4 linked regions of the Arabidopsis thaliana genome follow. The protein of the gene in region 3 interacts with the protein of the main gene of each other region in a pairwise test. Each region holds a gene or a part of one and is shown on either strand. Other genes may lie near its edges.

Region 1 (9,113 bases), on a different chromosome or scaffold from region 3:
CACTTTTGGATCTGAAAATGTGGTTCTCTGTTTCGCCCGTTACCGTTTAGATTCAGTTCTGTTTTTTTCTTACCCGATCGCTTGATTCGGACTGTGATCTTTGGTAAGCTTTACGTATTAGATTTGCTGAAGAACTTCAGTTTCAAATGATTCTTTTGATTTAGTTTATCAATCTGAAATATATTTCTGGGTGATTGAGATTTTAAGTCAAAATAGTTTTGAGATTTCGATTGTGGTTGACTGTTCATTGACTTCTTCTTTTTTATTTATCAATTTGTTTCTAATTAATATGGTTTTTAAGGTTAGTTGGTTATATTGAATCGTCTCTTCTTAAAGTTGTTTATCTGATTTGGTTGGTAGGAATTTTTTTCTGAGTAGAAGAATGTTTAGCTGAACGATACTGAATCTGATGCTTCTTAGATTTAGTTTTCTTCTGTGTTAATTCATTTCAGAAAAGTTTATTAGATCCGTTTAATTCTTTGAGTCTTCTTTTGGTAAATCTTCTGACTTTCGTTGTCAAATTCTAATTACTTTGTTTCCTTATTTTCTGGTCAAGTTTTTATTATTATAATCATTTATCAATTCAATAGCTTTCCTTAATTGCTGATTTTGATTGACCAATATTTTTTATGATATACCTCTTCTCTACATTGCAAGAAGCATACGTTATTGGTTGATTTCATTACCCAAGTAACGTTTTTTATCTTTTGGTTGATTGTTTCAGATCTTTTTTCTTCTCCAGTGCCGTGAAGGATGTGTGGTCTTGCTAAGAAGCTGGATATAGAGGATACTTTGACATCACTGTCAGACCAAGAGAATGAATCTTTGGCCAAACCCATGAATGATGCTGCTGAATGGGAACATTCGTTTTCTGCCTTGCTTGAGTTTGCTGCAGACAACGATGTGGAGGGGTTTAGGCGGCAACTCTCTGATGTGTCTTGTATCAACCAGATGGGTCTTTGGTACAGACGGCAGAGGTTTGTTAGAAGAATGGTTCTTGAGCAAAGAACCCCGCTGATGGTTGCTTCGTTATATGGGAGTTTAGATGTTGTGAAGTTTATTCTTTCTTTCCCGGAAGCGGAGTTGAATCTGTCTTGTGGTCCTGATAAAAGTACTGCTCTTCATTGCGCTGCTTCTGGTGCTTCTGTGAATTCCTTGGATGTTGTCAAGTTGCTTTTGAGTGTAGGAGCAGATCCTAATATCCCTGATGCTCATGGAAATCGTCCTGTTGATGTTCTTGTTGTGTCTCCACACGCTCCTGGTTTGAGAACCATCCTTGAAGAGATCTTGAAGAAAGACGAGATTATATCTGAAGATCTGCATGCCTCGTCATCTAGCTTGGGATCAAGTTTCCGGTCTCTCTCATCATCCCCTGATAATGGTTCCTCGTTACTCTCCTTAGATTCAGTATCCTCTCCGACTAAGCCACACGGTACTGATGTAACTTTCGCATCAGAGAAGAAAGAGTACCCAATTGATCCATCATTGCCTGATATCAAAAGCGGGATTTATTCAACCGATGAGTTTCGTATGTTCTCGTTCAAGATCCGCCCATGTTCTCGAGCATATTCCCATGACTGGACTGAATGTCCATTTGCACACCCAGGTGAGAATGCAAGGAGAAGAGACCCGAGGAAGTTTCACTATACGTGTGTTCCATGCCCGGATTTTAAGAAAGGATCCTGTAAGCAAGGTGATATGTGTGAATATGCTCATGGGGTTTTTGAATGCTGGCTACACCCTGCTCAGTACAGAACACGATTGTGCAAGGACGGAATGGGTTGCAACCGAAGGGTTTGCTTCTTTGCTCACGCAAATGAGGAGTTGCGTCCCTTGTACCCTTCCACAGGATCTGGATTGCCATCTCCTCGGGCTTCGTCTGCTGTTTCCGCCTCTACTATGGACATGGCGTCAGTTTTGAACATGTTACCAGGCTCACCATCTGCTGCTCAACATTCGTTCACCCCACCAATATCTCCTTCTGGAAATGGTAGTATGCCCCATTCATCGATGGGTTGGCCTCAGCAGAACATACCGGCGTTGAATCTTCCTGGAAGCAATATCCAGTTGAGTCGTCTGAGATCTTCTCTTAACGCTAGAGATATTCCTTCTGAGCAGCTTAGCATGCTGCATGAGTTTGAAATGCAACGTCAGCTTGCTGGCGATATGCACAGTCCACGCTTTATGAATCATTCCGCTCGTCCTAAGACACTGAACCCTTCAAATCTGGAGGAACTCTTCTCAGCTGAGGTTGCATCTCCTCGTTTCTCTGATCAACTTGCTGTTTCATCTGTTCTATCGCCTTCCCACAAGTCCGCGCTTCTTAATCAGCTGCAGAATAATAAGCAGAGCATGCTTTCTCCTATCAAGACAAATCTAATGTCTTCTCCAAAGAATGTGGAGCAACATTCTCTTCTGCAGCAAGCCTCGTCACCCCGAGGCGGAGAGCCTATTTCCCCAATGAATGCTCGAATGAAACAGCAGCTACATTCACGCAGCCTAAGCTCCCGTGATTTTGGATCTAGTCTGCCCCGTGATTTAATGCCGACTGATTCTGGTTCGCCATTAAGTCCATGGTCAAGTTGGGACCAGACCCATGGAAGCAAGGTGGATTGGTCAGTCCAATCAGATGAGTTAGGTCGGTTGAGAAAATCTCATTCCTTGGCTAATAACCCAAACAGGGAAGCAGATGTTTCATGGGCTCAGCAGATGTTAAAAGACTCTTCATCACCTAGGAACGGAAACCGTGTTGTGAACATGAATGGTGCAAGGCCATTGACTCAAGGTGGTTCGAGTGTGAATCCTCACAACAGTGACACTCGTGAGAGCGACATTCTTGATGCGTGGCTTGAACAGCTGCACCTAGATCGCTGAGCCTCAGCTGCGAGAGAGAGGTTCACATTTCTGTGAAGCTGTGAAACTGATGATTCGTTTATTTATTATTCAAGAAAGCAAACGGAAACAAAAGCAAACTCCGGGTAAGCTTTTTTCGATTCTAATAACCCTAAAAGGCTCAGTTTTTTCAGGCTTCTTTCTGAAATTTCTTTACTTTCTTATTTTTATCACCTCATTAAATTAATTATTGTATCATCTCTGTTGTAACAATGGCCAAAGTGCGCCTCTATTACTTCCCGGATTTCTGATTTACATTTTTTGTATCCTCTCAGTTTGTCAATTGTTTCTAATATCTCCTTCATATTTGTCAAAGAACACTGTATGAGAAATAATAACATATTGTTTCAGCTAATAAGATTCATTCATTTCCTATTGCTTTCTCTGCTTTCCTGTTTTTTCCACTAAACTTTAACCAGCGATTCATAGACTAATAGACATTAATCTCTCAACTAACACGTTTATGGAAGTCGAGTAACTATCAAGTAAAGTGGTGGTCTCACTTTGAAACAGTAAAGTTAGAAATCAAACAAAATTGACGCAAGTTAAGATTGCTTACACTTCAAAATGTGTGTGAGTGAGAATAAAAATTGCAGAAAAACTCTGCTCAATCCTTATAACCCTGATTTCAATCCTTCTCAAATCTGAATCTCAAAGCCGTTCTAAGAGATTATATATATAAGTAAGGAAAAGAATGGGAAGATTGGTGTATGGTGGTCCTCACCACAAGCCAATGAACTTCCACCAGGCACCACCTACACCAAGCCAGATGAGAATGTTGACTATTGAAATCAGGAATCCATAGCCCCACCATTTAGCCAGCGGCACGTAGTTAGCTCCGTAGAAGATAGGCGCAGACCCGATACCATAATGGGTCAATCCTCCCATCAGGTTGGAAAGGAACGCAAGAACCAAGGCTGCAAAGTAAGGTGGAGTGCCTAGAGCGGTTGAAACCGATAAAAAGGCAGTGAACATAGCACCAATGTGGGCAGCTCCACTAGCAAAGAAGTAGTGAGTGTAGAAATACAAGAGGACGAGGATTCCAAAAGATAGCTGCCATGACAAACCCAATCCTCCCACAAACTGCAATCAAAACCCAAACAATGTCAAAACATTTCATTAGCATGCTAAGTCATTAGGCTTATTAAGCATTCATCAAATCATTTAACAAACCTTGACTACGGTCTGGCTGAACCACTCAATGAGACCATATTTGTTAAGATAACCAGCCATCGCAATGAGAGCAGCGAACCAGGTGAGTGTGTCCCATGCGACCGACTCAGCTAAGCACTCTTTCCATGTCACAACACCTGTCACAAGAAGGACTGATAATCCAAGAATGGCTGCAGTCACAGCATCTACACCCAACTTAGCTCCAAAGATCCAGAGACCAACCTGTGTCAAGGAGAACACTTTTTTAGAAAAGGAAAACCTTCTCTGTAATAAAACACCAAAACCACAAACATTTTCACTCAAAGCAAATGCATTAAACAGAAGCAAAGCCCTAGCTTAATCTAAGGAGCTACAATAGCTAAAATCTCTCAATGTTCAATACTGAAGCACCTTTCAAATCAAGCTCTCACCATAAGTAAGAACAGATCCGATGAAGCAGAAGCACACTTACCGTGAGGAATAAAGTGGCAGCCATAATCAATTCGTTCTTAGACATAGGTCCCATCTTGTCAAGCTTTTCCTGAGCCAGCTTAGGAGCATCAGGACTGCTCTTCACCGTAGGAGGATAGATGAGATACAAAAGAAACGGAACAACAATCAAAGACACAAGTCCTGGTACAATCGCAGCTTTAGCCCAATCAGTCCATCCAATCGTCTGCTTAATCGTGTTAAACGCCAAATTAGCACTCAAAGGATTCGCAGCCATAGCCGTCAAGAACATAGAAGAAGAGATCACAGAAGTCTGGAAACAAGTAAGCATCAACCACGAGCCAAGACGGTGCTCTGTTCCATCCCCAACGTTACTCCCACAAGCAACACAGAGAGATTTCACCAACGGGAGAAAGATTCCACCGGCACGAGCCGAGACAGAAGGAATCGCCGGAGCTAAAAGAGCTTCACTGAAGACGAGACTGTAACCGAGACCAAGGGAGGAGCTACCGAAGAGTCTAACGAACTGGTAAGCTACACGGTTACCGAGACCGGTTTTGATGAAACCGCGAGCGAAGAAGAAGGCAAGAGCGATGAGCCACGGGATTGGATCTCCGAAAGCGGAGAACGCGGCGGCGAACGTTAGGGTTTTGGTGAGAACGGAAGCTCCTAATCCCATTAGAGCAACAGCACCGAGAGGAAGCGGCTGAGTGATGATCCCGACGATGGTGGCGAGGAAGATCGCGAGTAATTGCCACGCGTTGCGAGTGACACCTTCGGGGACTGGAACGAACCATAGAATCAAACCAGTAGCGATCGAAGCGAGAAGAGGCTTAATGGCAGCTCCTTGCCATGGAACCGGAGCTGGAACCAAAGGAGGAGTTGGAGAAGAGGAAGCTGAAGCGACGGTGGAAGAGGCTTTAACGAGAGTTGATGATCTCCGGCGTAAAGAGACGGGAAGTGGAGATTTGAGTAAGGAGAAGCGAGAATCGAGAGATCGGAGAGGTTTCGTCAAATTGAGAGAGGAAGAAGGAGGACGAGGGAGAGAGAGAGATCGAGATTTGAGAGGGAAAGCGAGAGAGCAGGAGCCGGAGAGAGCGAGAGACGCCATGGTTGTAGCGTCGTCGGCGAGAGAGAGGTGTGAAGAGGAGAGGGAAGTGAAGAAGGAAATGAGTAAGAAGAGGAAAGAGAGAGTTGGATAAATGTTGACCGTTGGATTGGAATCGGACGGTGAGATTAAGAAAAGGAATATACGGACAAGAGTGAGAGAGAGTGATGATGAGATGAGATCGTGAGGTGAGAAATAGAGATCTCCGTCTTTGGTGGGTCAGTCACCTCATCCTATTGGCTGAAATATTTACGAAAAGCCATTTTGGGTTTGGGTTTGGTCTTTTTAGATCGACGAAACATACAAAGCAAAATCCTTCACTCAACAAATTTTCTATTGATTTATTAGCTTTGTTTTTTGGTTTTGAAAGATCTTAAACTATGCGTTTACTAGTGGATCGTCCAATGAAAGATTAACTGGCAATAGAATAGTAGCTTTCATTACATTGTCCAAGATGGGCCGAGATGGCTTCGCTTGGAATTAAATCTAGTGTAAACCCTTAAGCGGCCTCTCGTTTTTTTTTCTTTGAGTGTTATATGGTTCATAGTTTTGATTTGTTTGTTTAGAGTAAGGTGTGACATCAAATATTGAATACATGATTCTTTTATGTAAGAGGATACTTTCTAATGTGAATGTCTAAGAAAGTTACCAAATGTTTTAAAGTACATTCAATAAAACAAAATGTTCAGTTTTATCCAAAGATATAACATCAGAAAAACTTTCATTTAATTAGTTCAATCTTCTCCATTGCTACTTGATTACAAAATTCTTCAAGTGTTTGCCCCTGTTATATTAAAGAATGTATGTGCTTATTATTTCTTTTATTTATTTATTATAGGATATATGTTTTACATTGACTAATCATTACATGGCACCTCAAGGCTCAAGCCCTAGTACGAAAAGATTATTCGAAATACAAAATACTCTCTAACAATGTATATATATTTGCATTTATGTGTGTGTGGCTAAGAATCTTGAGTATAAACCGCAATAGAAAAAAGAATAAGATGACGTAAAAATATTCATATGCTTTGTTTGAAGTTGAAGTAAAACGAAGGAACCTCAGTGTTCATCAACTGGTCAAGGTCCCAAAATTCTTCCACTGGTCTCATACCCTCAGGTGCGTTTCCGGATCCATTAGTGTTCAACTCGTCTAAGTGGTTGTTTATATTTGCATTGTACCAATCACCTTCTTCACATTCCAAAGGTGGGAAGTAGAGTTCCCCTTGTACCCCTGCGTTTACTCCATAGATACCATCTACATAAGGGGTAAAATCGTCATTGCACGGGTGGCTGATCATGTTTCCCGTTGGAAATGGATTGTTGGTTTGTATGTGGGTCAAGGAAGGGTTGACGAAGCCTTGTTCTTGTAAGGACATGAAGCTTCCTATAATGTCTTTAATATCCAAAGAAGATGCGGAATTAGAAGAGGAATCGCTTGCTGTGTTGGGTGATGAGGATGAGTTGTTGATTAAGTTGGAGGTATCGGACATCTTCTTTAGCCTTTTCTTTATTGTTGAGTTCCAGAAATTCTTGATCTCGTTATCGGTCCGACCAGGCAATCGTGCTGCAATCTGAGACCACCTATGAAATCGAAGAATAAGAGAGTAGAATAGTTTAATGAGATGATGTTATGTAAAATGTATACCAGTGCATGGTTTGCATGGGAATTAGAGAGTGATCCGTTCTTCATGTTTTTTATGTTTGAGTACGTGAAAAAGAGGCAATATATCAACAATTATAAAATTGCACAATCATATTAAGCAATAAAATGACATTATACACACTGCGTGTTTTGAATTGAATCTATATATATATATATATATATATATATATATATATATATATATATAAATAGAGAGGAAACATGTCCTGCGTAAAAAACACTAGAACGTATATTTCTGGAGAAAGTGACAAAAAAAGGAACTAATAAATATATAATTACAAAGATGAAAGTTGAAGTAAAACCCTAAGGAAGAGAAGAAAAGGTGTGTAAAGTGACAAAAGCCGCTTTCACTAAAATAAGTGTTTGTTGTTAGATAAGATCATAAGACGCACTCTAAGTCTTAAAACCCACGATCAACGAACTTTGACCACTCACATAATTACATGTGAATGTACTCATACCTATTTTGGTTTTATGCGTCTATTTCCATTCTTACTACTATTATTCTAATTCAACTTTCTTTTGGGTCAATTTTCTTCGTACACAATCATTCTTCCCTTTGAATTTAAACAGTTACTAATCGTACCAATGAAAACTCGACCAAACTTTATCCTTCCACGTAAGTTTGATTATACATTTTACGATGTTAACGTATCTTATATATATAGTATTACTTTTTACTGATTAATGTAATAGTATAATTGAAAACTCGTCCTTAAAACAAACATAGATATTATACCTCTAAATAGATAGCTCTGCACTTCTTATTTATTTGGTAGAAAAAAAAAATCAAATAAAATATGGTGAAAACGTTATCAAGATCTAATTTGACAATTTGGTCGTTTTAGGGTGGACTTTTTTTTTAAAATCAGTTGACTGGCTTTTCTATGCTTTAACTTTGTACCCATTAACCGAAAACAAATTAAGCTACACAAGTTTAAAAACAAGACTCACCAGACAAAAGCTAGTTTGCCAGAACATTTATATTTATCTTCCGGCCACTAGTTTCCATATTTTATTCTATCTCTTAGTTGTTGTTATTATGTCAAAACCAAAATGATGGTAAAAATGTAAACCTGTTGCCGAGGATGGAATGAAAGCGAATGATGAGATCCTCTTCTTGAGGAGAGAAAGCGCCACGCTTGAGGTCAGGACGAAGATAGTTGATCCAACGAAGACGGCAGCTTTTGCCACATCTTTGAAGTCCTGCGTTTTTCGCAACATCACTCCAACATCCTTGTCCATTGCTTAACATGTATTGCATCAGCTTTGAGTCTTCCTCAGGAGACCAAAGTCCCTTCTTCATCTTCTTTACTTGGTGAGTACTAGCTGCAATGGCTACCTCTGGCTTCCTCATATTTTTGGTTGAGTTAATTGTTATTATTTCTCTTCAATTTGTTTGTCTTTCTCAAGGATCCATTGATGTGAACGAGTGAAGTTTGTTTTATAATAGAGAGAGAAAAGAGAGAAGACTTGATGAAGGGAGAATGATGATGATGAGAAAGGGATGGTTGTATGGTTTGCTTACAATTCTGGGAAGAAAAACCATTTGCACTTCTTCCTTTTTAATCTCTATTCCTTAATTATATTTTTATTGTATATATTATATTTATAATATAGTGTTGCTTTGTTTTAAAACATAAAAGAAAAACATCCGAACCCTGGCTCTTTTTCAAATTAAACACATTTTTTTTGTCGGCATATATTGTGTAAGGTAAATAAAATAAAATACACCAACAACAAATGTATGTTTTGTATATAACTAATTTGACGAAATGAAGAAACGTTAGTTGATCGGTCATGGACGAAAACGGTTTTGAAAAAGACCCGATATGCAAAACATCA
Region 2 (7,699 bases), on a different chromosome or scaffold from region 3:
AAAAGCATACACAGATATACATGCACAAATACTACTAGGCAGTGACTTAAATGGTATAAAAGCCTCTGTATGCTTATTACCCTATAGAGATATATCTCATTTGTGAGAACTAAACCTACATTTGTCAGAGCTAATTAATAATACATATAATATTTGCATCAAAATTTAATTTAAAAAGGATACTCAAAACTCAAAAGCAATTTTCAAGTTTTCAATTAGTTTTGAAAGCCAGAAACGTAAAATCAGTGTACTAATCAGAAATTCTCATTCCCAGATACATATCACATCCCAGATTTTTCTCTCAATTAATAACTCCATAAACTACGGATCTGATTCGCATAAGATTTGGTCTTGATGGTTTCAAAACACAGTTGGTTAGATATACTCTAGATTATACAAATTAAGCAGGAACAAAAGAAAAGAATAACTTCCATGTTTTGTGGCTCCATGTCTTGTTGAGTACAAGAAAATCAATAAAGACGCATGTTAGGCTACATACACAAAGAAACCTTTGTAGATCTGCATCTAGGGTTAGAGTATTTTTCTTTCTCTTTGACATATTTTAGGAAAAGAAAATTAAATAACCAATTTCATGATATCTAGCTCAGAATATATGTTTTTGAGACAAAACACTATAGTAGATCTGCATCTAGGGTTAAAGATTCAAGGGTCTTTTGACATGTTTTTGGTAAAGAAATTGAAAACTTATTACATGATTTTGGCCATGGAATATTTTTGAGACAAAGAAACTTTAGATTAAAAAGAGAGCAAAATTACCTCATGCTTAGCATCCCATAGTTTCTTGCCAGATAACTTCTGGTATTGGTCCAACATAGCACCAAGATCCATGGAAGGACAACAGTAATCAATCATCTTACCATTACTTGCAAAGATTATGAGGGCAACTTTTGCATCACAAAGAACTGTGATCTCTTTAGCCTTCTTCACCAATCCATTCCTCCTCTTTGAGAACGTCACCACTCTGTTGTTTGCGTTCTCTATCCTCTTTATCTCGATCTTTCCTCTACCCATCTTTCTCTCTCTATCTCTTTCTCAATTTTAGGGTTTGCTATGAAATTGTTAAGATATGGAGGAGAGGATATGTGGTTTATATGAAGAACAAGAAGAGGAGCATTGGTTTTAAAGTAACATTGATGAGATAGAGAGAGAAATGTTTTGATTAATCTTGAGGTGAAGAGAGACTTTGACAGTTTGGGATTGAAAACAAAGCTACTTTCTTGAGGGCACAGTCATGGAAGGCTTGCTTTTGGTTCGCTTATTACACATAGCCAACTCTATTTTCTCTCCTTTTTTTACAGTACCAAGAAGATAAAAAAAAAACTTGAAGTAACGTAATAAAATAAAGTAAAAACAAACTTAGTGATTTTGCTTAATGAACACTCTTTGCATGTGATTGATGTTTATTTTCTTTCATTTGATTTGATCATCTCAGTCTCTCTCGTGATAGGTTAAAGTGTCGTTTAATTAACCTCTGGTCTCTTCCGTACTATGTTTTCTTCAATGAACTGTGTAGAGAAAACAAATTCTAGATATCTGGAAAGATAAAATTCTTCATATGAAATGTGGTCAAACTTTTATTTAGCTTACTCGTGTATGTATATAATTAATTAAATTTAAATTTGAGAGGCAAACATGATAATACCATAATTTCTTATCCAACCACATATATCATCAATTAATTACTTTGGGAAACTATCTTATTATGTCATCAATTATATAAAACGTGAAATAAGATAGTGTCCCAATGATTTTGCAACTAAATCATTTTGCAAATAAATTTCCCATTTTGTCTATCTCGAAAACTAACCATTAAATCAAATGAAAGCAACGAGTTTTGCAACTTTGTAGATTTAAAACCAAAAATCTCTGTAAAGAATTGCTTTTATTTTTACAGGTTCTTACTTTGGCAAAACCAAGACTTGCTATTTCAAGAACTCTATGTCATATATAGGTCTTATCGAATATCGTAGCTACACTAAAAAATCAAACATATTAAATTATTGAAAGTTGAAGATATCACATTGACAAATGAAGTAAATAAAATAAAGTTAAATTCAGATGGTTTAGAAAAAGGAAAAAAAAAAAAGAAAAAGGAGCAGTGTAATTACCAAAGACCTTGGTATAACCATTAGACTTTATCATGCTTACATTGTTATGGGGAAAATGTCTTTGGTTGTTGAAAACAAAACAAGTTTATGGTTTTCTTGATTCACGTCGATCAGACACGTGTCAATTTATTGTGGAATTTTGTGGTCTTATGTTTTGTACTTAGTACGGGCATACTTTTTGGCATTTTCTCGATTATCAAACTATAAAGCCAGAGATTAAAAATCTCCACACACAAAAAAAAAAAAAAAAAAAAAAAAAAGTTGTGAATTCAGGTGAGAAACGTATCCACTGAAACAAAAATACCATATTGTTGGTATATTGAATTAGTAGATAACCTATGTCTTTTTAATATTATTCTAACTTCGGTTCACAATCAGGTAATGTTTACTCGTTGATTGAAAATATTGAGAAGGCAAATTTTGTCTAATTATACATGAAAACTAGACAAATTGGATGAAGAAGATGACTAATTTTCATGAAATATGGTAATATATAGTAGTAATCTCAATGATATTGAAACCCACTCTTTATTTTGCAACCGAATAATCATATATTGAAACTCAATACTAATCACAAGTATAAGACGTTTATAATGACTTGAAAACAAGTCCTTATTCTCACAAATAATCAAATACATGACTATTTAAATAAGGAGAGTAAGGTAAAACAAATACATAACTAGGTTTCGAGTGTGACTCAAAAGAGAGCAACAACAGCAGAAACAAAAGCGACCAGAAAAGTAGCACCACCTAATGAGGAAGCGGCATTTCCAGCTGGAGTAGTGGTTCCGCTAGAGCCTGAAGGTGTTGTGGTCCCACCCGCAGTGGGAGGAGTGGTTCCTCCAGTACTTGGGGTTGATCCAGGTGCTGGGGTAGCACCGGCACCAGGAGTAGCACCTCCAGTTGCACCAGCAGCAACTACAGTGATGGAAAGTTTTTGACCAAAACGACAATGGTCACCGACGGTGCAGATAAAGTATTGTGGTCCAGTGGTGTTTAGCATAATTTTGACCGGAGGAACGGTCATGTGGCTAATGGGTTTCTCTTTCTCACAGTTTTCAAATGCAGCTTCTGATACAACTGCCACATCATGCCTCCCAGCAGCGAAATCAAATTCTGTAATAAGAATATCAACATCAGTCGGTGGAAACTCAATTAATCCCTTTTTTAGCTAAAATATGTTCATAAGAATATAGAAAGAAAGACAGAACAACACCGACATGATCCATGCACGATCCCATAACTATGACTGTTATAAGAACAAGAAAAACAAAGACATATTTCAGCTATAAGAACAATAAAACTCACCGAGCTCGTCGCCTACACGGAAAGTTTTACCGGTAGCCCAAGTAGTATAGAACTCGGGGTCCATAGGTCTCGTCCATTCCGTATCATCACCAACATCGTAGTCCTCCGCGAAGACAACAACGGCAGCGAAAACCAAAACAAGAAACGTAACCGTTTTGAAAACTCCGGCCATTATGTTATGTGTTGAAGAACTCAGGTCACCCCCTTTTCTTTTCTTGGTCGAGAACTATATATGTCGTCTCTTAAAAGATAGTAAATGACCCCTTTTGATTTTTGTGTTTGTTGTGGTTTCAAAAGTCTTGCAAGAGAGACTTATATTTATAGGACAATTAAAGAGAGGCTCTCAAGGAGTCATACGCAAGATACGGGAAGACGCGTTACGTGTTGTGTCGTTGAACAAATCCAAATTTAGATATTATCACTTGTGGTCAATTTTGTCTGCTAAGTTTTTTTTGTCCACAATTGTTATTTTTAGCGCGTAAAGACATTGTACATTTGTAAATTTAGATCAAGTAAAAAACGTGACTAATTACTTTTTGGGTAATGATTATAAAATTTAGTGTTCAGACTAAATATAACTACCTAATAATAACCATCCGATATTAAGGCATCGAAGAATAGTAGCATACTAATGTTAGAAAAAACAAAGTGTTAAATGTGGATATGGATGAGATATTAGGTGTTTATAGCATTTATATGGATAAGTCGATAATTGTTCAGAAATTTCTAGGCTCGATTGTCTTTCTTTGCATGGGTCCGTTGTACCAATTCAGGTCGTATTCAAGAAAAATCAACCCAACAAGTATATATACTTGCACGTAAACGAATGCGGTCATAACCCGAAACCAAAAGCGGTCAAACTCACTTCAGTTTTTGTTTGAGTTTAGATAGTTCAAAAAAGACCAATCGGGACTCAAGTGATTGGTCCGATTATAAACCCGAAATATCCATCCGCTAAAAAGGACTTGTCAGTGATTGGTTATTTCAGCTTCAATAGCAAAACCAAGCCTAACCAAATAAACAGGTTCAAGAACCTTCTTGCTCTAAACAAGAATCACTGTCTGAAACTTGTTTACTTGGACAGGTTCTTACATTATGTCCCATTTTCTTGCAGAACCCACAAGCATACGTTATTTTACCAACACCATCTTCCCCGGAATTTTCACCACTGCAACTAGGATTCACTCCGGTCGGCTTCCGGCATGTTCTGCTGTTGTGACCTCTCTCACCGCATATTCCACATTTGTGATACCTAGTGGAAATGCCTTTAGTGACTATTGATTTCGACTTAGGACAAGTTCTACGGTTGTGGCCTTTCCCGCCGCAACCCCGACATCTAAATTTTCTGTCCGCATTAGTGCCTAGTTCTGGACAGTAATGGCGTCTATGGCCTTCCTGTCCACAGTTCTTGCAGTAAAACTTAGTTCCTGAATCAATGAGAGAAAAATGGTTCTTTTACCATTTCATAGCTTGCACATGGAACTGTCACCACAAAAGGAAATCAAATCGAAACCTACATTTCTACACTTCGAATCAACATTATATCTCAACTTTAAGTGACAAGCCTCAACCTAATTCATCACAGTGATCTCACATTATTGGAGAATGTAAACAGATAAAGCTCAAGAAACAAAAGAGTACTACATGGACCTAAACTCTGAAATTCTACCAAGAAACTGAGACTTACCTTTCATAGATAGGCTTCTCTGTTCACGGTTTACAGGGTTACTGAAGAAAGCTTTCATAGATTCGGATGCATGCTTTCTAGCAGCTGGTGTTCCTTTAGCTTTCTAGAACACAACAACACTAAGCAGATTCAAGGGAAAAAAACAACAAAACTTGTTCCATGTTAATTTAGGATATAAAACAAAATGGAGTAGATTACAGACCTTAATTGCAGCTACTCTTTGAGCATGAAGCACTGGATCACGATGTATAATCTTCATGCGCTTACTAAAAAGTCCAGTTTTGGCATTGAGACTCTATAAAAACCATAATTTGGACTGACTATGACAATTTCCCATGGAGAGAGTAGAATAACATGAAGTGTATATGAATGAAACTAACTTTTAGAGATCGGCTGATCTTTTGTCCAACTTCAGGAGTTGGTGACTGATAAATCCGCTTCGATTTTCGCCTTTTACTGAACTTTATCTCTAAATTATCAACCTCATCATCCTCCTTTACTCTAAATGGAGAACTGTGGCAGAAAAAAATGAGGTTTATTAGTCAAACATTAAACAGAATTAAGACTTCAACTCTTGAATAACAACACTACCTGGATCTAGCTTTCTCCCAAGGTCGTTCATCGATTGATTCTTCCCATATGACACAATCCCCCAAACATCTGAGACAAGTCATTATGCCCTACACAAATTTAAGCAAAGTTTCTATAACAAGGAAAGACTTTTGTTACTCAAAAGTTTAAAGTAATTTAATACTTTTAAGTACCTTTCCTTTGCATTGAGGGCAGTCTAATCGCGACCTCTCGATTCCGCAATTTGAACATGAAGTATAACCTCTTCCCCTACAAGTTGGACAAGGAAGCTCTCGAATGTACTGACCGTTAGGACCAAACCATGACCTTGGTTCACGCGAATCACCAGATATGAACCTGAATAAACCATCACCAAAAGCACATTTTTGAAGCTTAGCCAAATTGTGGATCATGTATTTTACCAACTATCAAGTACACCGACTTGACCAAGTAACAATATGTATTCCTTACTTTTTTAAGATTTTCTTTTTCTTTTTAGGAAATTATTAAGAGTTTTTTTTTTCCTCAAACTTCAAAGAGTTTCCATTTTGGCATTTTTTTTTTTTTCCTATTAGTAGAGTGCTTTGCTTTTACGTTTTAGTATAAATAAAGATAGGGTCTCGATTATGAGACTCATACAAGCTAGAGAGAGCTTTGAGTTTTATACGTTTTGGGTTTCTTTGAGTCTTGCAATAAAGAGAGCTTTTCGTGGGGTTCTGTGTGACCGTGATTGTTAACTACCTGCAAATAAGAACTTGAGGAATGACTACCAGTAGGATTGAGTCACGTTTGATCGCGATAGAAAAGTACCACAAGGCCTTGCATGAAGAATTTATTGGGTTTCATAAGAGACAGAAAGAGATCCAGGATGCTATTTTGGAGTTTACAAGGATGGTTTCGGCTTCAAAATCGTCGCATTCTAAACAAGAATCTGCAACTGTCCTTGAGGAGGACATTGAGATGCCAAGTTTTGATGGAGACCATCTCTTCATATGGCTAGAAATCATTGAAGTTTACTTTACTTTGCAACTCGCTCCAGAGGTTTGCAAGGTAGACACTGCATTCAGGAGTATGGAAGGTGATGCTCTACTCTGGTTACAATGTCTACGACAAGAGAACCCGACTTTAACATGGTCTCAACTAAAAACTGAGCTTATAGAAGAATTTGGAGGAGGAGATATTACGGCCTCTCCTGAAGAACAATTGGCATCACTTCGACAAACAGGATCCGTAGATGAGTACGCTAATGAATTCCGTGCTCGGGCAGCTCAAATAGGTAATAAGGACCAACTTGTAAAAGGCATGTTTCTTAATGGACTTAAAGAAGAAATCCGGGTGATGTTCCGACCAAACGATGCTGAAGGACCAGAGATGGCTATACGCACCGCAAAAGCAATCGAGAGAGAGTTGAATTTTAACAACCGAGCAAAGGGTAGACGCCAATATTCGTCGCACCAAGAATATTTTGACATGGAAGGAACAGGCCTTTGTTATCCCGGCTATCAGCCGTACTCCATCTTTGATGACTTCTGAGGATAAGGCAATCATGGATGGAGAGATACGTGCTATGTAAGAAGAATAGACTACACTACCACAGGAGCAAGCCTTGAGGACAAGACTTTACTTTGGGAGGCTGGAATGTTATGTTTTTTTCTTATTTTTATTTAGGATTTTCTATTTCTTGAATTTATGAAGGATTGTTTAATGCTTCCACTATTCTATTTTCAAGATTACTTCTACATCCATGCTTGTCTTTTACGTTTTAGTTTACTTATGCATCCATGCTTGGTTTTTCTATTTTTTTTTATGAAAGATTGTTTAGGACTTCCACTTGTCTGATCCTAACTCAAATAAGACATTGCAGGCAGATGCCAAAATTATCATACTCTTGCTTTTATAAAAGAATGAGAAAACTAGTGATTGTTTTCATTAAGAAGCTTCATAGTTGTTTTGAGTTTAGAGCTGTTTCATGAAATTGATCGTGAATTCAGTATAAAAGAGGTTT
Region 3 (8,665 bases):
AACGACAGAAGAAGAAAAAGCATAGCTCAAGTGTAACAAGAAAATATGTGTTTATTGTTTGGTTTTTCCATCTTCGTTACTGACTTATTGTATTGGTTTTACATTCAAAAAAAAAAAAAAAAATGGTTATTTTTGTGTAACACTTCCTCTCTCTATATACAATGTTGTCTTTTGGATTAATTCCCCACACCATATAAGGTTTCTCGTGGGTTGTCTAATTCGGTTGAGTTTGGTTGATCAGACTGCACCCGTTTCTCATTCTATCTTATGGCGATATATACGATTATGGTCATATGACGTAATTTGGATATTATAAATAGATGCATGATGTGACATATATTGCTGATGCTAGTACGATTATCAAGTATGAATTACAAATATTCTAGCTAATATAACTTATCAATAGTTGTATTGATATGGTTATTAATATTGTTAAAATTTCAACTAAATGAAAAATAAAAAGACGTAGGTTAGATTAATTATGTTTTATTGGTGAGAAACAAATACGTGCTTAGTGAAATGGACGTTGACTTTTGTCGGCAATATTCATATTTCAACCATTTTTCTCCCAACAAGACAATGAGAGTTTCTAGAGGTTGTGAGTGGCCAAGTTATTTGCCGTTAAATCAACCATCCGACAAAGCTCCGGATACAAACTCTTCCTAATGGTTGCATACACCTCACCATTCCATTTCTTAGCGGCCAAACTTTCTCCAAGGCTCACTGTAGCCTCCACCACACCTTCCGCACTATCATGCGCCGCTGAGTCCACGATCCCGAGAGCCACCGCTTCTTCTCCTTTGAGCTTCTTCCCGCTCAGTAACAGCTCCCTTCTCGCGATACCTGACCCAACCTTAGCCACGACCAACGCCGAGAAGTAGTCCGGCACCGGTAGCCCGATGTCCACCTCGCTCATATATAGAACCCCACGGTCTTTCCTCATGAAAACGTAGTCGTGGCTCAGCGCAAACATCAGCCCCGAGGCTGCCGCGTGGCCGTTCAAGGCGGCGATCGTCGGCATTGGAAGATCGAGGAGGGCGGCTAACACCGGTTTAAAGGATTTGACCATTTGGTGCATCCGTTTTATAGCACCGTGTCCAGCGGATTGAGCCCACGCGAGGTCAAAGCCATTGGAGAAGAACTTTCCGTGACCGGTAGTGATGAGGACGGATCCTTTTGTGGATTGAGACTTTGCTTGTTCAAGAAGCGAGAGAACAGAGGCGATCGTGTCGGGGTGGAATCTGTGCTCGTCTTCGCCGGTTAGGGTTAGGAGAAAGAGATCGCCGCGCTTCTCTAACGTACACATGGTGCGTACGTTAAGGACTTACTGATTTAGGATGGTACAAGAATAAGGAAAGAGTTAGTAGAAAACTGTGATATAGAAGTGAGTGTTGAGTAATTAATAGAAGGGAACCCAACTGTATATTTATTAGACGTGCTTTGCCACCGAAGTCTTTAAATTGGGTAATCTTCCCAACCATTTTGGTGTCAATGTTATTAAATGCAGACGAGACAAATGTGTATGAATGAATGTGTGACTTTCTTGCTGAAAATGATAATTGTAACTGTTTGTCCTTGGACGTAATTACCATTTTGTTCTTTCGCAGCTATTGGCTAAATCAATTTTGGTTTCCTTGTCTCCACTTGATTAATATTAACAACCTTTTTTTAGTGCTTACACACTTACAACTGTTCGTATGATTTTTTAGATATCTTGTCATGGCTTTTGAATCTATGAACTTTATTTTTGAAGCATGATTGATTGAGATCTCTGCTTTAGCATTACTCATGGACACATTCCATAAGAGACCGACATGAGTAGTTAAATTAGTTCACTAACTCTTTAAGTTGTGCAAACAACATTAGTTAGGTTAATATTAGTCCGCCAACTCTTTAATTTATTAAATACACAAGCTACATAGAAAAGAACAGTGTCTTTAGATCCATACTTGACCAGCCGGTCTAACCGATAAAACTGTTAACTAGACATATAACAATCATTATTTTACAAGATCCTATAATTCAAATACATATTCAAATATTTATTTAATATGCAAAGATTTTTATTTTATACCGAATAAATACTAAGATTTATCTTGTTTATTGACTTTTATTTTTAAAAAATTTTATACCGTATTTATGTCCGATCAGAGCCGTCCATGAACGCAATAGGACCAAATTTATGCTTGCGGCCTCAATTACTACAAATAAAATATTGACCTAATTTTTTTATAACTTTCAGTAAAAACGTTGATTATTTGATTCTTAGATACCTATGGTCGTCAAAAGTTTGAGTCCATCTACCTTCATTTACCTTGTTATTTTTTCATTTTCACTCATTAAAATAGGTCTAAATTTTGTTCTTTGCTTGCAATCTATTAAATACTAGAGACGGCTCTGTGTTCGATTAATGACACCACGATGGGACTTATAATACAAATCAGTATACTCATATATTACAAGATCATGTTAACTTTCTTACTATTTATATTTTGGTTAGCAACATGCAATATGCGGGTTTGAATAAGGCCATAAGGGTGATGACACACTGACAACACTAACACAAACCATTGGATTACATTTTTTTGTTCGTGTAGAAGTTAATCAGGCGGCTAGTTGACTTGACTTGGCCTGAAAAATGCAAAAACCTCACATATTTAAGCACATCGTGACATGGTCCGATTTTTGCTTTCTTTTGTTTTGTGGCTTAGATTGTAAAGCTCTGTCCGCACTAGACTCAACTTACATATTCATATTCATATTCACCTCTGGTCCATATATATTATAAAAGTCCAATAGAACATGTTCACGAGAATCTGTATAGGTAAACCTCATCCACCATTTAACATTTCATGAACATGTTTGACTTCCATTAACAAGATCGATGTCTTTGTAATTTAATATTAAAAAGAACTTTAACATAAAAACAAGCATGGAAAATTCAAAAAGAATTGGTCAAAGAGTATTGCCAAAACAAAAATGTAAAGAAACGGGAAAAGGGAAGATAAAGCAGCTAATTTTCTTTCTCCAACTCTGACCAATGACCATATCCAAGCGTGTATGTAATGTACCTAGTCAACATGTTACAAGTCGTGGCCCTCCTCACCTTATTATATATGTCATCTACATAAACATCAGACATCACACACCAACATCATTATTATGTTCTTTGATACAAAAGTACTCAATTATCCTACAATTCACAAATCTATCTCCATGGCGTCCACGATGCAAAGAACAAGCAGCTCCGCGGCCAGTAACGAGAGGCAACTTAGCCAGCTACAGAGACGAGCTCCGTCTTTAATGATCAAACCAACGTCTTTTAGTAACTGGAACGTGGCGATCCCTCTCCTTTCACCGCTCGCTCCTTCTCTAACATCATCCTTCGACCAATCACATGTTCCTCCGCCGCAGAACAAGACTGAGATACCAGTGGAAGAAGAGGTGAAGAAGACACCAGTTTTCAAGAAATGGCAACATCCCGCGTCGCCGTTCTGCTACGAGCCAACAACGTTTGTCCCACCGTTCATCCAGGTTTAGAACGGTTCATCAAAATTTTGTAGATTTGATGACTCAGCTACCAGCCCCGTGTGAATTTTGTTCCTGTGATATTACACGCGGTTAACTATTTTTCACGTTTTTGTATCAGTTTTATCCTCTAAGAGATAATATTATTCACTAACAAAGTATTAATTCAAGTTCTAAATGGGTAAAAAAAAATGCATAAAACACATGAAACAAAATTATGGGAAAAACATGGAGAAAATAGTTGCATGAATTCTTTAAATAAATTGTCAAATTAACCCATCATACATCTAGGGTTGGACTTTTCTTTAAAGTTCATTTCTTCAAAGTGTTCACTTTTAACAAATAAAAAAACTAACTTCATGGATTCAATATGGGCCGAACTAAAGCCCAGTAAGCCCAATTCAATTTAATTCTATTTTCTTCTTCTTCTTCTAGGGACTTGTAGTACAGTAAGAACTTTCGTACGTTTCTCGCAAACAAAACACGAAAACTTACGCTTCTGGAATTGAATCCAAATCGAGAATTTCCTTTACAATGCTCTAAATTCGTCTGTTATGTTGAATCCTTCGTAAGAGAGTAGAATCGAAGACGAATCAAATGAACTTTCGAAGGTTTGATCTATTGATCTCTTCCTCTGCATTCGAATCCTGTTTTTATGTAGATTCATCAATGTTTAACAAATGATATTGATTCTGCTCTCGATCGAATTTGATCTAGATCTCTTCACAATCTCCAGATTCACTCTTTCTGAAATCTTAGTTTTTTGAATCACCGACATTCGAATTCCTGATTCTGAGTCATTGACCTAATTCTAGAGTTCTAATTACAGTTTTCCAGATTTTGAATTGAGTGTATCCAACTAGAATTGGAGAAAATTGGATCTGATTAAGAACCAATGGTTTTGATTTCTGTAGGGAGAATCGTGCTTCGAGAACGTCTCTCTTTGATGGCCTTGATGGACTTGAAGAAGGTCGCTTGAGAGCTTCTTCTTCGTATGCTCATGACGAACGTGATAATGATGAAGCTTTGGAAAATCTTCAGGACAGAGTTTCGTTTCTCAAGAGAGTATGTTTCTTTCATCTATATAACTAAAGAATCAAAATATCAACACAAGCATAAACATTAGGATTAAGAATTGTGATTCTTTATTGTGAAATGGATGGTGCTACTGATCCTTATTGTTTGAGAAAGAACAGTCCCTTAAGCACTGCTAAGTCGAGACCCTAAATGTATCTTTCGAGCATCGAACGATGATCTAATGCTTTCGAAAAGTCTAGATATAAAGAAATTGAACTTAGTTTTTAGTTCCTAGATATGTATTGAAATTGTAGATTAAGAACATTCTCTCCAGCATTGCTATCACTAGACCCTGTATAAGTCTTTCGGACTCAACGACAAGGATCGAGCTATGATGTAATGCCTTAGAAAAGTCTAGTTATGAAAACAATGCCTTTTTTGTTTTCACTCTTGTCAAATCTAGTTTGCAATAACGCTTGCCTGAGATGTAAGTTGGTAATAATATCTTATCAGGTGACTGGAGACATACATGAAGAAGTTGAGAATCATAACCGCTTGCTTGACAAAGTGGTAAGCTGAAAGTTTGATTTCATCTGTTTCAGTTTGTAGATCTCTATCACATGCTTTTCTTCTAAGCTATTTGTTGTTGTATCTCTAGGGGAACAAAATGGACTCCGCGAGGGGGATAATGTCGGGAACGATCAACCGCTTCAAGTTGGTATGTAAATAAGATTTCGTACCTTTTATATATGCATCACCCCTTTTGTTTTTCGCTATCAAAACTTATATCTGAATAAAACTCGATTTTAACACGACAGGTCTTTGAGAAGAAGTCTAATCGAAAAAGTTGCAAACTCATAGCTTATTTTGTGCTCCTGTTCTTGATCATGTATTACCTTATTAGGTAAAATACACTTCTTCTTATAGTTATCAAAACACTTGACTTTTCTTAGGGACTGGTTCAAGTCCTTGTTCTTTGACTCGAACACTGACAATCTTTCGGATTTTGCAGGCTATTAAACTACATCAAAGGGTAAATTTGGATACAAGAAGAAAGTAGAGTGTTAAATGAATAGTTTCGTTTGGGACTTCCATTTTTGGATTTCTCCTGATGAATGAATGATTCAGACATAGTAAACAAGTCAAGGGACCCTATTGAAACCCTATTGAAACCCTATTGAAACAAGACAAAGAAAGAGATTGTGAAGAGACTAGTGAACCAACCGAAAGAAAAAATGTTTGATAGAGACTTGTTTGTCACAAGCAAAATCATCTCATGTCATTTCATGTAATGTAGCAAAAGCTTCTTTATCATTTGTCAACTATTTGATCTTGGGTTCATGTTAGCAGTTTTGTCTACAAAAAGCTTAATTGATTGATTGATAAGCTTAATTATTAGCTTTCTGTGAAAAAAAGTTTAGCACTTTGTAATAAAAACAAGATAACTTGGCGTCTTGTTTCCAAAAATTTCCAATTTTCAGAATTTTAAGGCGCAAATACCGTCCTGTATATTGACATTTTGCTAAAGATCCAAATACGTAACAACATGAGAAATATCATTTTTGAACGACTCGCAACAATTCCACAAGTTGACAGGACACTACTATGCAGAAGAGTTTGATTTTTTTTCCACTTTAGGTAACAAGTTGACAATAATCGACAAGTTCATTTTTGGTTTGGTAATAGACAACAAGTTGACATGTACATTTCCAAATGGTTCGGTTTCTAGGTCAAATCATCTTAACAATTATGTAAACTATAGTCTTAAATGTTGAATTTACGAGTGAATAACAGGTTGCTATGCTAAATAGTAAATTTCTTGAAACTACTGTTTAGATAAATAGTCAAATAACCATGAGTTTTAATATAGCTACTAGAGGATAACATTTGAGTTCTGGCACAATATATAGAAAAAAAGTAAAAAAAAAAAAATGTTACCTTATTAAATCGGGAGTAGTTTTTCAATTTCTTCTGATCTTTTAGTATATGCTAAAATACCATGTTAGTAAATATGAATGTGATTTTTGTAAAATAAATATATTATAACACAACAACAGATGTTATGCTACATATATTAAACAGGGTGCTAGATTATAAACAAAAGTGTTTTGGATTCACATGAAAAATATGTGTAATTATTTGAAGAAGTTAGATATATAGATCATTCAAAAAATAGTAAGCTACATGGTTATCTAATATACTGTTGGTAGTGAATCCATCAACCTAATCGTGACATATATACAATGTACAATCGAAATCGTTTCTAAGAAAGCCGACGAAATACTCAGCCTTTAGAAAGACTAGTATACGACATGTCCTACCACCCTAATTACTAAGAGAAAAAGATTCATGATGCTGCGGGAAATGACTTGCTTTCTTCAATTAACTCTTCATTCGAGCTTTGGTTGCTCTAGCTCACAAATTATCGTCGTAGTTAATTGAATATTTACAAGGAGCTGACTAAAAAATTAAATGTACATGCACATACATTGGAGCACGCCCACCATGGCTATGCTAAGCATGCTCTCTTAGCAGAAGTGACACCTCTCAGAAGCTATTGGGCCATAACAGAGTTATGACACGGGTCATATCCGTCAAAAGCACATTGCTTCTAGAATGCGAGGTATGATTGCTAAAAACACGATCGACAAGGAACTCAAGAACATCAACTTGCATATTGAACCTACATACATGCCGTATATAGGCATGTGCGAGGAGTATTAAGGATATAGGACTGGTTAACTTCGGTTATCACTGGTTTGGTTGAATGTGGTTTACTAACCACAATAATCTTATGTATATAAGTTTAATCTCGATTACTTTGTTAGTTAAGTTGGTTGTAACAACACTTTAAGCTGAATAAGAAAAGTTGTTATCTTCTTCTTCGTCTCTCTTCTCCGATCTTGAATCTCCGATGTATCGGATTTTATCATGGTATCAGAGCACAATATATTGATTCCGCGTTTGTTGTGTTCATCGGGAGAGAGTTTCATTTTCGATTTCTTCTTTTGATTCTTTCGTTCGCTTATGCCATTCGTTATTTTTCCGATTCACCGGAGTATTTTTCATTCTGTTTCTTTTACTTCCTTCAATTGACCTTTAGCGTGAGCGAATCTCGTTTTCTATACATCAAATTCGTCTCGCTTTCTTTGTAATTTTTCATTCTTACTCTGAGAATGGGATCTTATGTACCTCCACCTGCGAATCCGGTGACTCGTCCTCCGATCAACAATGGTGATCAAATTCGATATCCAGTAGATCAATATGAGAATCCGTACTATCTTCATAGTGCAGATCACGCTGGATTGATTCTTGTGTCAGATCGACTTACGACAGCTTCAGATTTTCATTCATGGCGTCGATCGATCTTGATGGCTTTGAATGTCAGAAACAAATTGGGATTTATAAACGGTACGATTACTAAACCACCTGAGGATCATAGAGATTTTGGTGCTTGGTCTAGGTGTAATGATATTGTTAGTACTTGGTTGATGAACTCTGTTGATAAGAAGATAGGTCAGAGTTTACTTTACATAGCTACTGTTCAAGGAATTTGGAACAATCTGTTATCAAGATTCAAGCAAGATGATGCACCAAGGATCTTTGATATAGAACAGAAGTTAAGTAAAATAGAGCAGGGATCTATGGATATTTCAACATACTATACAGCTTTGTTAACTCTGTGGGAAGAACACAGAAATTATGTTGAGCTCCCAGTTTGTACATGTGGTCGTTGTGAGTGTGATGCTGCAGTTAAATGGGAACATTTACAACAGAGAAGTAGAGTGACTAAGTTTCTTAAGGAATTGAATGAAGGATTTGATCAAACAAGACGTCATATTTTGATGCTTAAACCTATACCTACTATTAAAGAAGCGTTCAATATGGTAACTCAAGATGAGAGACAAAGGAATGTCAAGCCACTTACTCGTGTTGATAGTGTTGCTTTTCAAAACACTTCTATGATAAATGAAGATGAAAATGCTTATGTTGCAGCATATAACACAGTTAGACCTAATCAGAAGCCGATATGTACTCACTGTGGGAAAGTGGGACATACAATTCAAAAATGTTATAAAGTCCATGGTTATCCACCGGGTATGAAGACAGGCAATACAGG
Region 4 (7,199 bases), on a different chromosome or scaffold from region 3:
GGTCTAAGATGAAATAGTTTTAAAAATTGTTATGCGGGGCATATATTATTAGAGTGTTGTGCACTTGTAACCTTCCAGAAAATAAGCAATTTGGACGATATTTTAAGGTTTGGTCCATGTTCCAGTATCGTGTTAGGGTCCACTGCTTCGAGATCTACTTGATTGATACTCTTCCATTTGTTTTCTAATTGTTTGATGCAAAGGTTATCCATTAAGGGAAACTTATCTATATCACGTGGAATACTCACTGCAAAAGATTCGCAATATTAGACTTATAATTGTCACTAATCAGACCATTAAACAAATATCAAATTGATTAATATGTTGAATTTAATAATCCAATTTGACCTCTTTCAGATAGGGCTTTGGGGACAAATCTTCTTAAATCGCACCAAACTTTTATTATAAGATAATTTTTGGTTCGTGGCTATTAAATTAAGCCTGAAAATTTAAACATATGTTTCACTTACAAGCGTCAAGTATGGATAAACAATGATTAATCATAAGCTATCATAATGACAAAAAGAAGTATGATCGTTATCAGTTCTCTTATGCATAAACTATTGATAAAATTATAATAGTCACGAGATGATTGATCGAGCACGATAACTATTATAATAGTCACGAGAGAATGATGTGAAAGTTTAAGAATGCGTCTAAACCAACAATAAAATAATTTAAATAGTTATAATTGAATACACATTCTATATTAGTAAACATTCAAATTATTTAAAATATCTACGAGACACAATAGCCTCCCAACAACCATTCGTACATTCACTTTCTCATTAGAAAGAAAACGTATCCTAATTTGTTGTTTTCTCTATGAATGTTAATATCATCTAATAAGTCCATATAGACTATATCTAATAAATCCATATAGACTATTGTCTCTGAATATCAATGGATTTGAATCTTTGGCCAAAAAATTAAACAAAGAGACAAATGATGTAGAAGTCACATTACATAGTGGGAGTTAAAATTAACCAGAGTTTGCATTAGGTTGCAATAACGCTTGCATTTACGTCTTGCGGTGCTTACGTTCTGAATCTCTTTGTCGATGAGCTTGAAGATAGTTGATATTGGGATCGAGACTTGGTTGTGAACCACATCATTCCTTTGCTTCCACATATATCCTAACATTTATCTAAACAATCTGGTGCTAGAAGAAAGAGATTATCAAACTGATGCAATGACAAACTACGAAACACCACTCCATAACAAAAAAACTTAACCGTATATCGATCCTCAACTTTAGGAATAATCCTAACGCCGCACCCACCCGGCACCTGGCACCCACCACTTGAAAAATTCATAGCTCATGGCCAGTAGGGAACCGCGGAGGAAACTTACTCAGTCCATTGCGAGGATAAGGACAAAAGTACTCCTTCAATTATTCTAGAAAACCAATCAGACGTTGACAAAGAACCTCGTTTGAAAGTACAACTGCTCTACAAGACTGCATTGCCCACTACAAGCAGTGAATGTTGTCCACCCTCAGCTTCTTTATACGTTCGTGAAGCATGCATGTGCATTTTGTTGGTGCGCGCATAGTAAGCCATGCCATGCAATTCAATGCCAATGGTTTACGAACATATAGACAAGTAAAGTTTTCAATTATTTCATGAGTACCTAAAAACCACATTCATAGAACAGTTTGCAAGTATTCGAAATTTGGGAAAACATGCATACGACCTCACCGCATCTCTCAAAGGCCGAATACAATTTTTGAGGAATGATTAAACAAAGAAATATTTTTACAATCACACTAACTACAATACGTTCATGAAGACAACGTAAATGACACGAGCCATTTAGCGCAGCCTTCGAAATTTATTTAGCGAGTATAGATAAAGTGGTTCAAGCCTTGGTATTGATACACAAAATTCACAAACCTTGCAATTTTCTTTTTGAACATAAAAACAACAATATTATTTCAAATCAAACGGACCACACTCAAAACTACATTTACATATACCAAGAAAGCCACCATATAATTCTAGAAGCCAGACGGTGACCAAGTAATTGGCATTTATTAATTTACTTAATTCGTTATCATCTTTCCTTACACTAGCTATTTCACAATCATAAAACAGAAAATACCGATCAGCAATTAAACACACAAAAAATTGTATGGAAAATAGAAAATAAAATTTTAGATAGATCTTTTCAAAAAGGTAAGAACAGTATTAAAAAAACATACGTAGGATAATCATAAAACTTAATACAACATATAGATCCATATAATTATTAAACTCTAATGAGTAGTTGTTGTGGTTTGGTGTGTTTGTTGTGGCTGCGAGTGCGTATAATGTCCCAACTCTTTGGCTTTCTCCGCTATCCTCATCCTCGCGTAATCCACCTTATCCGCTCCCATCGGGTGTTTTCCGGTAACGTACTTATAAATCCACGTTAACGCCGTAGCTGCTGCCACCCCACAACCACCGGAGAATAGGAATCCCATCGTCAAAAGCCCTATCGTTATCACTGCCGGTACCAACACCGGGCTGAACAGAACCATCAACGGCGTCGCTACGATCAAACCGATCACCGTTCCGGTTAGTGTTAGTCCTGAGAGCACGAGGAGTGATAGGCCGATCGTAGCTGCCGTTACGAATCTCACTATCTGCCGAGTCGATGGTGATGATTCATGGAGACTCCTCATTATTGGTTGTTGTTGTTGCTGATGTTGTTGATGATCCGCCATTTCTTTTTTTCTTTTTCTAAGAGAGTATGGATTTAATGTTCTATGTTGTTTTTGTAGCTTTAATAAGCTTACCATTTGTGATTATTATGAAGAATGAAAATAGACTAGTATGAAGGAGAGGCTAAACTTAAACGAGACATGTGTCGAACGACGAGGCGTGTTAGGCAATGGAGAAGAGTGTCACGCGGGCGTGTCAGTTCTGCATGGAGCTACTTTGACGAGGTACTGACACGTGGTTACTTAGTTCCGAATTAAAATCTCATCGTCAAACGATCTTGAAGCTTATTGGGCTATTATCTGGGCTTGTAGTGACTGTATATTATCCTAGTGATTATGAAGTTGGAATACCGTGGGCTTAATAATATCTGGGCCTGTAGCGACTGTATCATCTCGGGAGACAAATTATTTGAAAATAAAAACCTCGATGCAGATGTATCAACACGTGGCAGCATCTGGATTCGACCGTTGCTGCTTTGCTGGTGGTTTACGTTTTTTCCCCTTTTTAAATTTCTCAATTTGGATCTGTTCCCTTTGTGAAAATTACTCTCTCTTCTCTCTTTCTTTCTTCTCTTTCTCTCGCTATCTTGGCTCATCAACGATCTCTTCCATGGGGATTTCTACAGAGACGCAGCAAATTGTAAGAAAATAACTTGTTCTTGGTTTCACAAATTCCAATTTCATTTGGTTCTTTTGTCGAATTTGTTTCAATTTAGGGTTTTACTTCCTTGTTGGTTTGCGTTTTTTCTCTGCGTTTGGTCTGTTCTAATGGAATGTGATCTGGGATTATCGATTTGGTTGCTTGATTTTCTTTGCGCCAGAAAGAATCTTGTTTCAATGTTCTCTGTTTAATTTGAGAAAGACTTGTTGGTATGATTTTGAGAAATTTCATGATATGATTGTGGATTTATTCGTTTACAGCGAGGACCCTAGATTAATTGACAAATCCGTGGATTAGTGTTAAGGAGCTGTTGATTTTATCCTTTTATCTTCAAGTTTTAAAGTATCAATGATTGTTTGTCGTTTATGATTAAGTGTATCTGAGAGTTGATTGGATTTCAATCTTTGTGATAATGTTGTATCAGGCGGCTTCAGAGGCTGCACAAAAGAGATGGACTACAAGCGATTTCGATATCGGAAAGCCACTTGGTAGAGGAAAGTTTGGCCATGTTTATCTAGCAAGAGAGAAACGGGTTAGTGTTTCTTCACAATTATGTTAAACAAGCAGAATTAATTTGATGTCTTTTTTAACCAAGCTGTCTTCTATGTGTCTTTGCAAACAGAGCGATCACATTGTGGCTTTAAAGGTTCTTTTTAAGGCTCAGCTTCAACAATCTCAAGTTGAACACCAGTTACGAAGGGAAGTAGAGATTCAATCTCATCTTCGGCATCCCAATATTCTGCGGCTCTACGGTTACTTCTATGATCAGGTTTTGTGTTATCTGTGCTTGTAAAAGAACTTCTTGTTGACATACAATGTTTGGCTCTGTGAGGTTAACATAGTTTTTGGGATACCGTTGTTGCAGAAAAGAGTTTATTTGATTTTGGAGTATGCTGTAAGGGGTGAGCTTTATAAAGAGCTTCAGAAGTGCAAGTACTTCAGCGAACGTCGAGCAGCAACTGTAAGTCCTAGTGATAATTGAACTTATTCTAGCATGTTAATGTGAATCTGTGTAGTCATACCCTTACGTTTATTGTGGCAGTATGTTGCGTCATTGGCTAGAGCCCTCATCTATTGCCATGGAAAGCATGTAATTCACAGAGATATAAAACCTGAAAATCTGTTGATTGGTGCTCAGGTAACAAATTGAATCTGGTTATCTTTCTCCATCAACGCCATGTGATTGCAGTTAGCTTATGTGTTTATGTATTCATGGATATATGTTTTCAGGGTGAGCTCAAGATTGCAGATTTTGGATGGTCAGTACACACATTCAACCGTAGAAGGACTATGTGTGGCACTTTGGATTACCTTCCACCTGAGATGGGTAAGAGAAAGCTCTCTCTCTCTTGTGTGATTCTAAATTACTTTCTTCGGCAACCAGCTAATTGACTTTTCTGCTTTTGGATTCACAGTGGAAAGCGTTGAACATGATGCGAGTGTCGATATATGGAGTCTAGGAATTCTCTGCTACGAATTTCTTTATGGTGTTCCTCCTTTTGAGGCCAGGGAGCATTCAGAGACATACAAAAGGTAACATGTTCATTAAGCGTAGAATGGGATTAGTATATGATGTTTGGTCAGTGGAATGTACATTAAAGAAGGGTTTTGTTCGACAAATGATACAGGATTGTTCAAGTGGATCTCAAGTTCCCTCCCAAACCCATTGTGTCATCATCTGCAAAGGACCTGATTAGCCAGGTTTCTACTCGCATTCCTCGTAAATCTCTCTAAGTGTTTGTGCATTTGAAGAGTGAATTCTGATTTTCACACTTTCTGATCAAACAGATGTTGGTTAAGGAGTCTACGCAACGTTTGGCCTTGCACAAGCTTCTTGAACACCCGTGGATTGTGCAAAACGCAGACCCATCAGGCCTTTACAGAGGATGAAGCGATGAAGCTAGGAAAAGATTTAAGATTGCATTCTTGGCACTTTGCACCACTTACTGCAAAAAGTCTGACCATTTCATAGTTCTATATATGTAATTGCTGTGTTCCAAAAGTATTTGTACTACATTTTTCTACGAAGTTTATATAGCCACAAGATTCGTGTAACTTTACTCCAATTATTTTCGAATCCTACATCACTTTTTAAATAAAAATTGTTCGGAATGGTTTCAAACTTACAACAGCTTTTGTTCATCGGTAACTTATTCACCAATTGATTGGTTAACGTTAACTGATGTTACTGCAGGTAACCAAATGAGATGGATTTGTTCACAAGAGATCCGGAACATTTTTTATGTTGTAAGATGCAAAGGTGCAAAGGCAAACGAATGAAAGATTAACCGAACATGAACAAAACAACAAGAGACGCACTCTGCAATCAATCATTTTCCTTCAAAAGGTGGGTGAATGAGACAAGAATGACCAATGTTTGTCTTTTATCTGTAAGACAAAGAAGAAGAATAATGCCTACTTAACCTCAAAAATTTAATTTGGTGTATCTTGTACTTAAATATGGTGGTGGAGTCTCAGAATGCGTAGCGGTAGATGGCATCAGCAACACCATCTTGGTCGTTGCTCACACCAATCACATCAGCCACCGCCTTTGTTTTTTCTGCACCGTTGCTCAGAGCAACTCCCAACGAGGCCAGTTGCAGCATCTCTATGTCATTTTCTCCATCTCCAATCGCCATTATCTGATAAGAAAATCCGGGTTGCTTCATCAACTATCTTATTTTTTGTTTGACTTCTATACTTATGCCTACTTGAGTTTCTTTACAACGCCGTCAAAAGATGCTAGATTATTACCTCATCCGGTGAAACGCCCAAATGATTGAGTAGCATTTTTACACCATTCCCTTTGGAGGTTCCGGGTGGGACGATTTCTAGCATGTCTGATTGAGCTTGAACAACATTAGCACGGTCTCCTGTAGCTTCTGACCAATACGGACGGATAACAGATGAGACTCCCTCGGTTGTGTCCATAAATATCACTTTCTTCGGATACACAAGAGAACCAAACATCAGTACTTTGGCTTATACATATGTAAGAAAGTAAGATATAAGTTCTGACTCCGGGAATTACCTGAATGTCAGCTTCAGCTATCAGTTGATCAACCGATGATATAATTTCGGCCTGTTAAAAATCATGGAGAGATTAGCAAGAAGCTGTCAAAAATCATAACTAGATGGGGAGAGAGCGTGCAGTTTCATTAACCTACCTTTGGCTCATTGTAGATTGTGTGAAGAGAGTCGACAAGAGGGTGGTCAAACAATGTCAAGCAGCGATCCTGGCTGAATGCAATGAGAGGAATTCGATGCTCCAAAGAATAAAGACAGGTCTGTATATAACAAATCAACATTTTAGTAAGTATAAGATAGGATTCCTAGAACTCAGTTATTCAATCACGATACACAGGGATAATAAGTTGAGCACTATCATAGGTACTTAGGTAGCTTTTTGCTGCTTAACATGGTAGAGAATTACATGATGCAAAGAGACTGGGTTCCAGAATTCTAATGCATGGTTTGTGAACTAAGCCGAGGATGTGAGAATTAATTCTGTGAGTCGTTGTAGTCTAAATCCTAAGTGGACTTACCTCTCTGCAGACATCTCGGTCTAAGTTTCCTCGATACACTTCTTTCCCTTGTCTACCATAGACAAGTAATCCCTGTAATTAAACAGATATTTAGTGAGACTACATTGATATTGGTGCACCTCACTAGTTCCCTGATGTTAGAGCAAGTAAACCTGAACGAAAACGCCTGGAGAGGACTCTGAGATAATGCCATCGGATCCAGTTAGATCAGCCGTCTTCAAGATTCTGATCGCACCTGGGCGGGACTGTGATAAATAAATAAATTTAGGAACATATCCTATCTCCAAAA

What was found.
Region 1: the proteins of ATBET12 (region 3) and DiT1 interact in a protein complementation assay, tested with the Arabidopsis thaliana proteins (one large-scale study listed by BioGRID).
Region 2: the proteins of ATBET12 (region 3) and BCB interact in a protein complementation assay, tested with the Arabidopsis thaliana proteins (one large-scale study listed by BioGRID).
Region 4: the proteins of ATBET12 (region 3) and AT2G25890 interact in a protein complementation assay, tested with the Arabidopsis thaliana proteins (one large-scale study listed by BioGRID).

What each region holds. Positions count from the first base shown.
Region 1 is NC_003076.8:4,056,315-4,065,427, forward strand, and holds DiT1 (dicarboxylate transporter 1), read right to left. Parts: upstream 5,976-9,113; 5' UTR 5,606-5,975; coding exon 4,517-5,605; intron 4,288-4,516; coding exon 4,066-4,287; intron 3,976-4,065; coding exon 3,613-3,975; 3' UTR 3,537-3,612; coding exon of another isoform or gene 3,536-3,536; 3' UTR 3,265-3,535; downstream 1-3,264. Other genes in the region: AT5G12850 (CCCH-type zinc finger protein with ARM repeat domain-containing protein), read left to right, coding at 754-2,874; MYB46 (myb domain protein 46), read right to left, coding at 6,625-7,186, 8,345-8,625. UniProt on the Arabidopsis thaliana protein: 2-oxoglutarate/malate translocator involved with DIT2-1 in primary ammonia assimilation and in the re-assimilation of ammonia generated by the photorespiratory pathway.
Region 2 is NC_003076.8:6,822,536-6,830,234, reverse strand, and holds BCB (blue-copper-binding protein), read right to left. Parts: upstream 3,871-7,699; 5' UTR 3,610-3,870; coding exon 3,438-3,609; intron 3,246-3,437; coding exon 2,827-3,245; 3' UTR 2,487-2,826; downstream 1-2,486. Other genes in the region: PI (K-box region and MADS-box transcription factor family protein), read right to left, coding at 778-1,032; AT5G20220 (zinc knuckle (CCHC-type) family protein), read right to left, coding at 4,464-4,864, 5,125-5,227, 5,327-5,419, 5,505-5,637, 5,716-5,804, 5,889-6,051. UniProt on the Arabidopsis thaliana protein: Probably acts as an electron carrier.
Region 3 is NC_003075.7:8,306,357-8,315,021, forward strand, and holds ATBET12 (Target SNARE coiled-coil domain protein), read left to right. Parts: upstream 1-3,962; 5' UTR 3,963-4,125; coding exon 4,126-4,139; intron 4,140-4,442; coding exon 4,443-4,593; intron 4,594-5,058; coding exon 5,059-5,115; intron 5,116-5,203; coding exon 5,204-5,263; intron 5,264-5,363; coding exon 5,364-5,449; intron 5,450-5,557; coding exon 5,558-5,582; 3' UTR 5,583-6,028; downstream 6,029-8,665. Other genes in the region: HCD1 (3-hydroxyacyl-CoA dehydratase 1), read right to left, coding at 590-1,306; AT4G14450 (uncharacterized protein), read left to right, coding at 3,163-3,540. UniProt on the Arabidopsis thaliana protein: Required for vesicular transport from the ER to the Golgi complex. Functions as a SNARE associated with ER-derived vesicles.
Region 4 is NC_003071.7:11,032,943-11,040,141, reverse strand, and holds AT2G25890 (Oleosin family protein), read right to left. Parts: upstream 2,840-7,199; 5' UTR 2,783-2,839; coding exon 2,258-2,782; 3' UTR 1,963-2,257; downstream 1-1,962. Other genes in the region: AUR2 (ataurora2), read left to right, coding at 3,132-3,344, 3,790-3,897, 3,988-4,134, 4,231-4,326, 4,408-4,503, 4,596-4,692, 4,781-4,898, 4,994-5,066 and 1 more; AT2G25870 (haloacid dehalogenase-like hydrolase family protein), read right to left, coding at 5,840-6,007, 6,120-6,308, 6,397-6,447, 6,533-6,652, 6,911-6,982, 7,063-7,155.